3 linked regions of the Drosophila melanogaster genome follow. The protein of the gene in region 1 interacts with the protein of each later gene in a pairwise test. Each region holds a gene or a part of one and is shown on either strand. Other genes may lie near its edges. The genes, in order: CG8079, Prp3 and Mettl14.

Region 1 (3,753 bases):
CCACGCATCCACAGGCCAACGTCAAGTGTTTTCCCACGTACGTGCAGGATCTGCCCACGGGCGACGAGATGGGCAAGTACCTGGCCCTGGATCTCGGCGGTACCAACTTCCGAGTACTGCTCGTCTCGCTGAAAGGTCACCACGACGCCACGGTGGATTCTCAGATCTATGCCGTGCCAAAGGACCTGATGGTGGGGCCCGGTGTGGACCTATTCGATCACATTGCGGGCTGCCTGGCCAAATTTGTGGAGAAACACGACATGAAGACCGCATATCTGCCACTGGGCTTCACTTTTTCCTTCCCTTGCGTGCAACTAGGCCTTAAGGAGGGCATCCTGGTACGCTGGACTAAGGGATTCGATTGTGCTGGGGTTGAGGGCGAGGATGTGGGCCGCATGCTGCACGAGGCCATTCAGCGGCGCGGAGATGCCGACATTGCCGTGGTGGCTATACTCAACGATACCACTGGCACCTTGATGTCCTGCGCCCATCGTAATGCAGATTGCCGGGTGGGTGTCATTGTGGGAACTGGCTGCAATGCCTGCTACGTTGAAGATGTTGAGAATGTGGACCTATTGCGCGCAGACTTTAAAAAAACGAAGCGGAGTGTGATTGTAAATGCTGAGTGGGGCGCCTTTGGTGAGGGTGGTCAGTTGGACTTTGTGCGCACCGAATACGATCGCGAAGTTGACGAAAAGTCTCTAAACCGATCGGAGCAGCTGTTCGAAAAGATGACGGCGGGCATGTACTTGGGCAACCTGGTGCGCCTTGTGCTACTTCGTGCCCTCGAGCGCAAGCTGATCTTTAAACAGAGCAGTCGACGTCCAGAATTCGCCAGCGTGCTGCAGAGAAACGAAGAGGTTTTCGAGACGCGCTACATTTCGGAAATCGAGGACGACTCCTTCCCAGAGTTTGCCAGCACAAGGAAGATTGTGAAAAATCTGTTTGGTCTAGAGAAGGCCTCCGTGGAGGACTGCCAGACTCTGAGATACATCTGCGAGTGCGTAGCTAAGCGAGCGGCTACATTAGTAGCCATCGGAGTCAGTGGGCTGGTGAACAGGACTTCCAACCGCCGCGTGATAGTCGGCATGGATGGCTCCGTCTACCGATACCATCCAAAGTTCGATGCCTACATGAGGCAAACACTCCAAAAGCTGGTGAAAGCAGACAAGGAGTGGGACATCATGCTCTCGGAGGACGGATCCGGACGTGGAGCTGCGCTGGTGGCCGCGGTGGCCAGTAAAACAAAGTAGGAACTCACTACTATTGTAGCAATAATAGAAGGACTCAGTGTAATAAAACAAATTTTAACTCACAATCGTTGGGCTGGTCTTTTTTGTTAGTATCCTCATCGTTTTCCATGGAATACTGGCATTCTTGTAATTCCGATTCAGTTGCTTGGCTGGCTTTGTCACACGAAACCTTTTCTTCCCGGCTTACCTTTAAAATAGATCAAAAATTAAGACCATTTTAGCTCAACCTTTAATTGGGACTCACGTAGTGTAGGAGTTTTTGTTTATAGGACGCCAGTTTGGTGTCGTATTTGCGGATAATCCCGTGCAGCTTTTCGACGTACTGCAGTAGTTGTTGCTGCTCGCAGGTTTCCAGGTCCTGTATGCTCTTCAATTCGATGGAATCGTACTTGGCGACAGTGTCCGCCAAATCCTCCTCTTCAGCCGGTAACGACATTGTTTAACAACCGTCGAATCTAAATCAACTTTTTATAGGGATCACAAGCCGATTTGGGGAGTTTCAGCTAGAGATGGAGAAACATCGATGCTAGCATGGATGTCATCAATGTTTTCAAAAAATCGCATTCATCGATGTTTTCGAGGAATCATCGATGTTTTTCCATCTCTACATCGCATCTGAGGAGAAAAGCGTATAAATTGTAAGTACAAATTAATTTTCCATATCTTCTAATACAATTATTAATACCATATTGTGGCGTCGTGATAGACATGGAAAATATCTGAGAAGAAAGTTTTTAACACCCGAAAAAGGCTTGCACATATGAATGCATGTCATATGCACGTCTAAATGTATATACATGTATGTATGTAAACGTGCATTTGTCTTATAGGAGCAATTACTGGACCAGCGGAGGATGAAAAGGTGGACACCAAATACTGACGTTTTATTTAAGCAACATTAAAATAAAAAGCAATTATTTTTATTTAAAGCATCGATGTTTAAAACGTCGATGTTATTCGCCAAAAACATCGACATCCGCCAACATCTAGTTTCATTTCAACTAACAGTCGTTTTAAGCACTGGTGGCTGCAAAGTTAATCGATTTATTAAGAGATGGTTGCTTTTACACATAAAAAAAATATGCCTAGTTTTTGAAAAAAAAAACAACTTAGTTCTTATCAAGATAAAATAAATATGGCAACGGCCTAAAAGAAAAAAAACTTTTTCGGTATTTTTAAAAAAACAAGTAGTTTAATAGCAAATTGGCTTCCAATACATTTCCAACTGGGATTAATTGTCTATCGAAAAAAGTGTCATCTCTACCCAACCAAACAGCTGTTCCCTCATCTACATTTGTTATTTAACCATTTTGGTCGCCGAAAAACGAAATAAGAATGAATAATTGTATTAAAGTAGTGCCCATTGCCCTAAGGTGCCAGCAGAGGACCATCAGTACTTCATCCGTGCTGGAGGGCAAGCGGAACTTCCGTAAATTTAACGCATACAACAAGCGCGGTACGCGCGTGGTAAAGGAAGCCCAGAAAACACTGGCCAATCCGCCGGTAGCCATTCACAAGCGAGGTGTACGAGACACGGGCATACTTGTCGACGGGCAGTATGTGGAGATTCCCGAGAAAATTCCGGACATCATAGTTCCCGATTTGACCGGTTGTAAGCTAAAGCCATACGTGTCCTATAAGGCGCCGGACGTCGTCCAGTCGGAGTTCACCAGCTTGGATCTCTTCAACGCCGTCTACTCGCAGAAGATTATCGAAGATTTCAAGGCGGGAAAACTGCAGAAGGACGGCAGCGCCAAGGAGCCCTCGGTCAATGAGCAACTGACTCCGGAGGAGGCCTTGCAACGCGCTCGAAAGACGGGCAGCGATATATTCTAGACATAGGTTTATTGTTTCTTAAATACAGAGTCTAAACTCGACTACTCCTGCATGTACTTTTGGCGGTAATTGTACAGCTTGCGCAGCCACTTCTCGGCCTTCATATCCGGGTCGCCCAGGAACTGTCGGAATTGAAAATCAGATACTATTAGCATGTATATTCGAGCACCAGGTAACCCACTCACGTTCGGATGGAATATTACATCTTCGTTTCGGACTGCAGTGGCTGGCTTGCTGGCGACTGTGACCGTTTCATTGTTCAGATCTATGATCACCTTATCGGATGTCTCCTTTGAATCCCTGGAGCTAAAAAATGACTCCGGCTTGAAGGTGTCCTCGTCTATAGTCTCGAGTGCCTTTTGCACCTTGGTGTCGAACAGATCGATGGCCTTCACGGGAGCAGCTGCGGGTGTGGTTGCGGATCGGGAATTGCTTTCCGAACTTGGACCCCTGGTTTTCCTCTGCGAAATAGACCGCGATTTGTGATGATCCCTGGTTCTGCTTTTGCTGTGCGTGCTGCGGGAACTACTCCTGCTGCTGGAGGAGCTGCGCGAGGTGCTGCGACTGCTACTGCGACTCCTTCTCGAGTACTTTTTCGACTTCTTGGCCTTTTTCTTCTTCGGTTTTGAAACCTGCCGGCTGCTCCTGCTGGGCGACTTTGATC
Region 2 (3,753 bases), on another chromosome or scaffold:
CTACTGCTGATCCGTGGAGGCCTCAAGCACGGCTCCGGAGTAGGCCAGATCCCAGTAGTGTTCGACCTGGTGCTTCTGAAAAAACTCACGGGCCATTTTTTCCATTGGAAAGATCTTAAACTTGATCTCGCCAAAGTGCCGTCGCTGACTAGTCCCCTCCCAGACGAGTACGCATGAGTTCGGCACGTCCTGGCCGTCATTGCCCTTGGCGTTGTCCTCCTCCCACTTAATGCGCGTTAGCATGAGCCTGCGATACTTTTTCTGCTGCTTGGGCCCACCCTCCACGACAACCACACAGCAATCCCGGAACAACACCACGCTGCCGGTCATCTGCAGCTGCTTGGCATTGGTCTCCACCTTGAATTTCTTGCTCTGGTTGTCCTGCAGATCTCGTATGCGATAGACGCTGACATGTACACCGCAGCTGGTGTCTTCCCTCAGCTTGCGCTGCTTCTTTTCGCTCTTCTGCTCGCTGGTCAGCTTGCGCGCATTGTTGGCATCTTCGTGCGCCTTCTGCCGCTTGGCCATCTGGTCGCGCACATGCTGCTCCATTTTGGTCGGATCTTGTACGGCCTCCGAGCCAAGCACACGCATCAGGTTGGATATGCGCAGTTTCGGCTCTGGTGGGGCCACCAAACCCAGTCGGATCTTCTCCTGCTCCTCCTTCCAGGCCTCGCGACGGTTCTGGCGACGAAGCTTTTTGCGCTCTTTCTTTGTGAGGAAAACCGGCAGATACACTGGTTTCAAGGGCTCATCTGAAGGAGTAGGTGGTTAGTTGCTTGTGGGACATGTTCTAGCTTTCAACTTACTTGGCGGCTTCATTTGTGTGGGATGCTCTATAAGGTTGGTTATGGCTGTTTGGCGTATGCTTATCTTACCGCTTGCGTCGTCTACCGTCTCCAGATCCTGGGTCAGTATAACTGAGTCCCACCACTCCATGGCAGGCACATCGTCCGGCATGTCCTGCTTGGGGGCAATCAATGCCAGTTTGGTGGCCGACGAGATGCCCGTTTTCCGGGCTATTTGCGAAATCTCATTCTGTAGTCGCTCCAGCTGGCTTTTCATGCGCATTCGTTCGGCCAGCTGCTGGAACTTTCCGGGCTCGTGGAATCTCAACGTCCTCTTGGTTCTAACAGTGGGCTTCAGGGCTATGCGGTCGTCAAAGTACTTAATAGCTTCTTCCTGGGCCGAAGTGCCCGATTCACTCCGTTCACCCAAACCCGTTTGGCGTTGGAACACCTCCCGTTTCTTGGCGCGTATGTTGGCTTTCAATGTAGGTGTCACCGTGGGAATATTAATGGTACGTCCGCTCTTGTCCACAGTGCGTCCTTCATCGTCCAGAATCAGGGGTTTGGGTCGCTCCTGCGCTTGAGCAGCAGCTGCAGCGGCGGCCGCTACCGCAGTGGGCTGAATCAAACTAGCCAAATTGCCAGTAAGCTTGGCCCTGATCTGTGCCTGCAACTCGGCAATCTTCCTGGCCTTCTCCGAGTCCTCGGGCGTGGGCTTCTTCGCCAGCGCTTGAGTGGCTAAGGCAACTGGCATTCCGATCGATGGAACTGACGCCAGCAGCGGATCCTTGTCTCTTAGATTACTCAGGGCCCGCTTGCGTTCCTCGATCTCCCGCTGGGCATGGGCCATCATCAGCTTGATCTGCGTGGAACTCAGCGAGGCGGGCACGGCGACCTCTTCTTTCTTCTCACCACCGCCGCCATTCTTTTCCGGGACATCGAAGCGGGATTTCTTGGGCGCTTCAAGGGCGCTTCCACCACCACTTTTGGAATCTGAGGCGGCAGCGCGCTTTTTGGACAATTTCTGGTCGTCGCCATCCTTGCGCGTGATAATGGACGACATAATTCGCAATTAAATGGGTCGGACTAAAAAGTAAATGTTATTTACCAACTGCTTGGCACATTCCTTGAGCTTAAATCAGCGATTTGCAATTCAAAAACAATACACAAGGTTTTTGGTCTTTGGTGAAAAATTCTCCGAAACACGTTAGGACAGGGTCGTTAAAAAAACATAAAAGTCAGGGTTGTCATGTCGCCAGTGTGACCGTTTCGCTTTCTTTTATCGGGGTGCAACCCTAGTTCTCTCACTTTTTGTCGCTCTCCGCTCCGCCATATTTGTTGAAGCCGCTTACAATTGACTATTTTTTTCTCGTCGTGTCTGTGTGTGCTTAATTATTTGTTGTGGAAATTAAGACAATTTCGTGTGCTCAAACAGTGTAAAAGTTGCATTCGAGTGCTACAATGGCATCGGAGGAAGAGAATGACGATAATTTCCAGGGTAAGTGCATTGTTTCAGTCGGCCAAATGTCGGCGTGAAAAAAACTCGGTCCGACCGTCGCTCGGTCAGGCTAAGAACCGTGGTCATGTTCAAGAGCCGCAAAGCCGCGCAGCGTGCTGCGTCCCCCTCCCATTGTTTATTGTTGCCTATTATCCTAATTGGTCATTGTCATTGCTGTACCTCGTTATAAACTATTTGTATTACAGCAATTGGTGAAATTTGTACATGTGTGGCGCGTTTTTTTGGGGTCTTTTGCGCCTCCTCCATTCCACACATATTTTTTATTGCATTTTTGTGTTCCCTCCATTCGCGAATGCAGGCAATATATAGACGTCCTGCTCACTCATCAAAACATATGTTTTACATGGTTGTTTTGGTCGAAAGTTTTGAGTGGAATACTCTGTAAATCCTTTAAAATTAAGTTTTATCTTAAGTTCTTTAGCAATTAAGATGTTTACTTTACCTGTGAATTGTCAAGTGTCAATTGTAATATACGGAAAATTCATTTTAGTTCACACTTATTGTGGTGTTACCGTATATGCAGTGTTATCATCGGCTGTGCAATGGTATCACCAGAAAAATAGTGTGCCCCTTTTGGAGCTAGTCGAGAATGCCCAGACGGCCTCATCTGCCACCATTTACATTCATTGTTGCTTGGACGTGGCAGCCATGACGTGATTTCTGAGTTTTTGTTAAAGAGATTACATTATTAATTGTAGAGAAAACTGTTAATTAAGGGGAATACGTGCATTACTCGCCACCGCCTACCGATTGCCAGTGTAAAGCCACAAATCCAGTGCGTAATATATCCAACTGAAGGAAAAGCGAAAAAAGAATGATGAAAAGTGTGTGCAAAAAATAAAAACCTGAAATTACCACAAAATATGCATATATATATTATAAATTGTGTAAGAAAGCAATGCAAAAAGAAAACGAAGCAATATGTGCATATATCTAAAGAAACGAAACAAAGATGCGTGGAATATTGTGGAAAATCTTGTCGCACTTCCACTGACGCACATACATATGTGATTTTTTCCACTCCCCCTTCGCCGACGTGCTCTCTTGATTGATTTCTCCACTCTCTCGCGTACTTGCGTCTCTGTGTGTGTGCGTGTTATGCACGCGCGCTCCAGCCAAACGTCGCCGTCGCCCCGTCTCTGTCGCTCCAACGTATATGATAAAAAAAAACTCACAGAAACCCGACGCGTTTAAATTAAATTTAGTTAAAAACAACAACAAAAATATAGCTACCAATGCAATCCTACCGAAGTGCCTGCAAAACAACTAAAGTATAGTCTTTTTAACGAGTTAATCAAAATATGCCAACACACAAGTAAGATGAAGAAGGAGAAAAGTAGAGTGTGGAAAAGAGACGATGCCAAGGGATGGGATGGGAAGGTGCCCGTCTCGCGAGGAAATTGCTGGAATGTAGTAGTAGTTCATAGGAAAACTGATAAACAATAT
Region 3 (3,753 bases), on another chromosome or scaffold:
TAGTTACGATGTTCGGAATACTAGCTTCTCAGGAATACTAATGCATACGTTGGAGAAAAAGCAAAGAGATGAATTACTAGAGGAAACGCAGCAGGAAGGAAAGCAGAGCGTGCAGGTCACAAGTGAATCCAATCCTCAGGCAGACTGTGACGTTCCTGTCGCTTGCCGAAAGCAGTGGGGTGGATTTGAAGATGATGAACCAGTGGCCTGTTCAACGAGTCGAAATGCGGAAGTCCGAGCTCCAATGAATACAACTATGATCTCCACACCGGAGTTCTATAATCCTGGAGAGCGAGAACTACTACGCAATGAGTTCTTGAGTATGATGAAGGAACGCTTTCTTAGTGGCGAAGACAAGGATTTTGATTATAAGGCCGTAGATGATAACACTTTGCTGGATGATCTGAAGCAAATTGAGCAGGATGAAGAAGATGCCTACTTTGAGGATAGCGAGGACGAGGAGGAATTGGAGGAGCATGCTGCGGATGAGAATGCTATATCTAGCGAAGATGACTTGGATATCTACATGAGGCATCTAAGCAATCATCACAGTCTCCAGAATAGTCACGGATAATAAATGAAAGCTGCTGGTCGCTCGGCATCCAAAGAAAACCCTGGAAATCGATAGGATACTCAGCATTCTGCAGCAATAGACTTTAATGTTAATCTTATTCTTAGCCTTAAAAACTTTTGATCTTAGACACTAGAATACACGCAGTTGTTGAGTAAAAATGCTGTTATCTGGGCCTTCCACGACCACGTGGAAAGCCGCGTCCTCTTCCTCTTAAAACTTTGCTATTCGGCGGCGGACTCTTGGGCCTCAGTAGTTCAATCCTACTAGTGCAACCGGTGGCTGGAGCCTCAGCAAAGTAGGTCTGGTATAGCTCGGAGTTGAAGTTCGAGTTCGTCAGTTCCGGACCAACAGTTAGCCAACCTGGTCGAATACTCGAATCTCTGCCGAACAGATGCAAACGCCGTCGACCCAAGCAGAAATGTTCGATGATGTGAAAGATCTCGATGGGCTTCTCGAAGCTGCCAAACTCCTCTTCCTCTGAGATGATTAAATCAATGTCCACGTTGGCATGGATAAAATCGCCATCAGTGGAGCGGCGAACAGTTCCTTTGATTCCCATCAGGCAGTGTTCCTTGGTGCGTTGAAAGACCGCTTTCGGTTCAAGTTGCTTGGAGTGCCCGGGCTTGTTAATGTTGGTCCGTATCCAACATATGTCTTCGCACCTCCGGAATCCCCACTTCTTCAGGCAGTTGCGGCCCATGTCCAAGCCCTCCGAGGATCCGCACCAAAGGAATACAAACGAACGATGAGCAGCTATCTCGCCCACATCCAAATCTAGCAGAATTCAAAGTTATTAGGTTACATTAATGGATGCTTGACTGGGAACTTACTAAGTATATCATCCCAGTTCCAGAAAACCCGCGGTGCCCCACCTACAGTGGCTACAGAAGGTGCTGCCCTGGCATATTCCTCTAGCGGCGGCTCAATCAAAATAACATCAAACTTGGCGCCCAGCGTCTTGACATCTAGCGATTTCAGATCCGCCTTTAAGTACATAGGTGCGGATGCGGTGTCTTGGATGAGTTTGTCCTTCAGTTTGATCAGTTCCCTCAACTTGGGATACTCCTCGAAGCGGTCAGCTAGGCCGACATCACGGATGAAGTTCTGGGGACGCTGACCGGTGTCCACAAAGTGCTGGCAGTAGTCATTGTGCGGATTGGAAGACTGGGTTCCCTTCAGGAAGGTCGAGGAGTCCCTATAGATGATTTCATTGGGGGTTTTCTTGGAGGAAGAGGCGCCACCATCCTCCTCCTCGCGTTGCCCACCGGAATTCAGCTGGCGACTACTGTTAATGTCTTCGGCATTACCCAAAGCCTTTTTCAGATCGTCGACGCTCGACAAGCCCAACTGAGTTAGGAAATACATAAATTATGAGTTAAACTCGACGCCGACTGCTTTTTCCACAGTGTGAATACTTACAGTTTGCGCTAAAAGCAAACGACGCTTGCGGGATCGCTCCTGGGAGCTCTTTAGCACATCGCTCATACTAATATATGCAGTAAAAACGTACTGTACTATATTTTAAATCGCAATTTTAAGAAAACTAAAAATTAAAGACAACAAAATTTGCCGTCTAGTGGCGGCATTCTGATTATTGCGGTATCGATAACACTAGACCCACGCAACAATATAATACTTATTAAACTAATTAAGGGGATAACTTATTTATATGAAAATACATTTTAAAGAATTCAACTAAAACGATTTGCATATTGTTTTACTGACTTATAAAAAGTCAAATTTTAAAAATCTAACTTCGTTTACTTTTTTATATCGATATAAATATTTATTTCTTCCTTGAGGTAAAACCAACCAATGTTGCCATTCACAGTAAACGTGCATAGTTTTCGCTTGCCATTCACAATCAGCTGCATGCGCCGGAAAAAATATTTTTGATTAAACGTTTTTTCTGTGATTTTGCGTTAAAGTAGTGAGATTGTTAATTAAATCGCCTGCAGAATGAGACTGCTGCACAAGACGCTGCTCAGCGGTCTGCTGGTAGTGGCGTTATTCGCTATTTACGCAGCCGCGCAATCAAAATCGAAGGTTTGTTTGTGGCCACGTCACTTTTCGGTGGACATTCTAGCTCCACATCCCAGAAAGCCGGCTAGAGGAATATGCAGCATGTTATTAATGGGTATCTTATGCCTTTCAGACGGGACTCTCGCTGTCGGAAAAAGTACAAAACCTGGTGGACATGAACGCCAAAAAGCCGCTGCTCCGCTTCAATGGACCCAAGTTTCGGGAGTATGTGAAGAGTGCACCACGGAATTACTCGATGATCGTAATGCTCACCGCATTGGCTCCATCGAGACAATGCCAGATCTGTAGGCACGCCCACGACGAGTTCGCCATCGTGGCCAACTCCTACCGCTTCTCCTCGACTTACTCCAACAAACTCTTCTTTGCTATGGTGGATTTCGATGACGGCTCCGAGGTTTTCCAACTTCTGCGCCTGAACACCGCCCCGGTGTTCATGCATTTCCCGGCCAAGGGCAAGCCAAAGGGAGCTGACACCATGGATATCCATCGCGTCGGCTTCGCCGCCGATTCTATTGCGAAATTCGTTGCCGAGCGAACGGACATCACCATTCGCATTTTCCGTCCACCAAACTATTCTGGCACCGTGGCCATGATCACATTGGTGGCCCTGGTGGGAAGTTTTCTTTACATTCGGCGAAATAACTTGGAGTTCTTGTACAACAAGAATCTGTGGGGTGCCATCGCAGTATTCTTCTGCTTCGCCATGATCTCGGGTCAAATGTGGAATCATATCCGTGGACCACCGCTGGTCCACAAGTCGCAAAATGGTGGCGTGGCCTACATCCATGGCTCCTCGCAGGGCCAGCTGGTGGTGGAGACCTATATCGTCATGTTCCTGAGTAAGTCCTGAGTCTTTAGTCTTCACTCTAGTTCTGTTGACCATTTTTGGACTATTTAACTAATAACTTTGATTACAGATGCCATGATTGTGCTGGGCATGATTCTGCTGATTGAATCGGGAACACCAAAGGCTCACAACAAGAACAGGATAATGGCGATGACTGGTTTGGTGCTCCTCACCGTGTTCTTCTCCTTCCTGTTGTCCGTTTTTCGTTCGAAGGCGCAGGGTTATCCCTATAGGTCAGTCATTACTATCCTGCAAGCAATTTATCACATATTTAAGTTGGCTTCTCTTT

The links.
Region 2: the proteins of CG8079 (region 1) and Prp3 interact in a two-hybrid assay, tested with the Drosophila melanogaster proteins (one large-scale study listed by BioGRID).
Region 3: the proteins of CG8079 (region 1) and Mettl14 interact in a two-hybrid assay, tested with the Drosophila melanogaster proteins (one large-scale study listed by BioGRID).

The regions. Positions count from the first base shown.
Region 1 is NT_033778.4:15,216,400-15,220,152, reverse strand, and holds the start of CG8079 (uncharacterized protein), read right to left. Parts: upstream 1,773-3,753; 5' UTR 1,690-1,772; coding exon 1,498-1,689; intron 1,441-1,497; coding exon 1,317-1,440; exon of another isoform or gene 1,254-1,316; coding exon of another isoform or gene 1-1,253. Other genes in the region: Hex-C (hexokinase C), read left to right, coding at 1-1,253; mRpL41 (mitochondrial ribosomal protein L41), read left to right, coding at 2,589-3,089; CG11808 (uncharacterized protein), read right to left, coding at 3,131-3,211, 3,275-3,753.
Region 2 is NT_037436.4:19,908,576-19,912,328, reverse strand, and holds the start of Prp3 (precursor RNA processing 3), read right to left. Parts: upstream 2,027-3,753; 5' UTR 1,852-2,026; coding exon 810-1,851; intron 756-809; coding exon 1-755. Other genes in the region: Mi-2, read left to right, coding at 2,250-2,286.
Region 3 is NT_033779.5:8,306,850-8,310,602, reverse strand, and holds Mettl14 (methyltransferase like 14), read right to left. Parts: upstream 2,177-3,753; 5' UTR 2,060-2,176; coding exon 1,994-2,059; intron 1,922-1,993; coding exon 1,405-1,921; intron 1,349-1,404; coding exon 738-1,348; 3' UTR 642-737; downstream 1-641. Other genes in the region: CG7810 (uncharacterized protein), read left to right, coding at 1-574; Ostgamma (oligosaccharide transferase gamma subunit), read left to right, coding at 2,534-2,620, 2,730-3,456, 3,535-3,697. UniProt on the Drosophila melanogaster protein: Non-catalytic component of the WMM complex, a complex that mediates N6-methyladenosine (m6A) methylation of mRNAs, a modification that plays a role in the efficiency of mRNA splicing and is required for sex determination.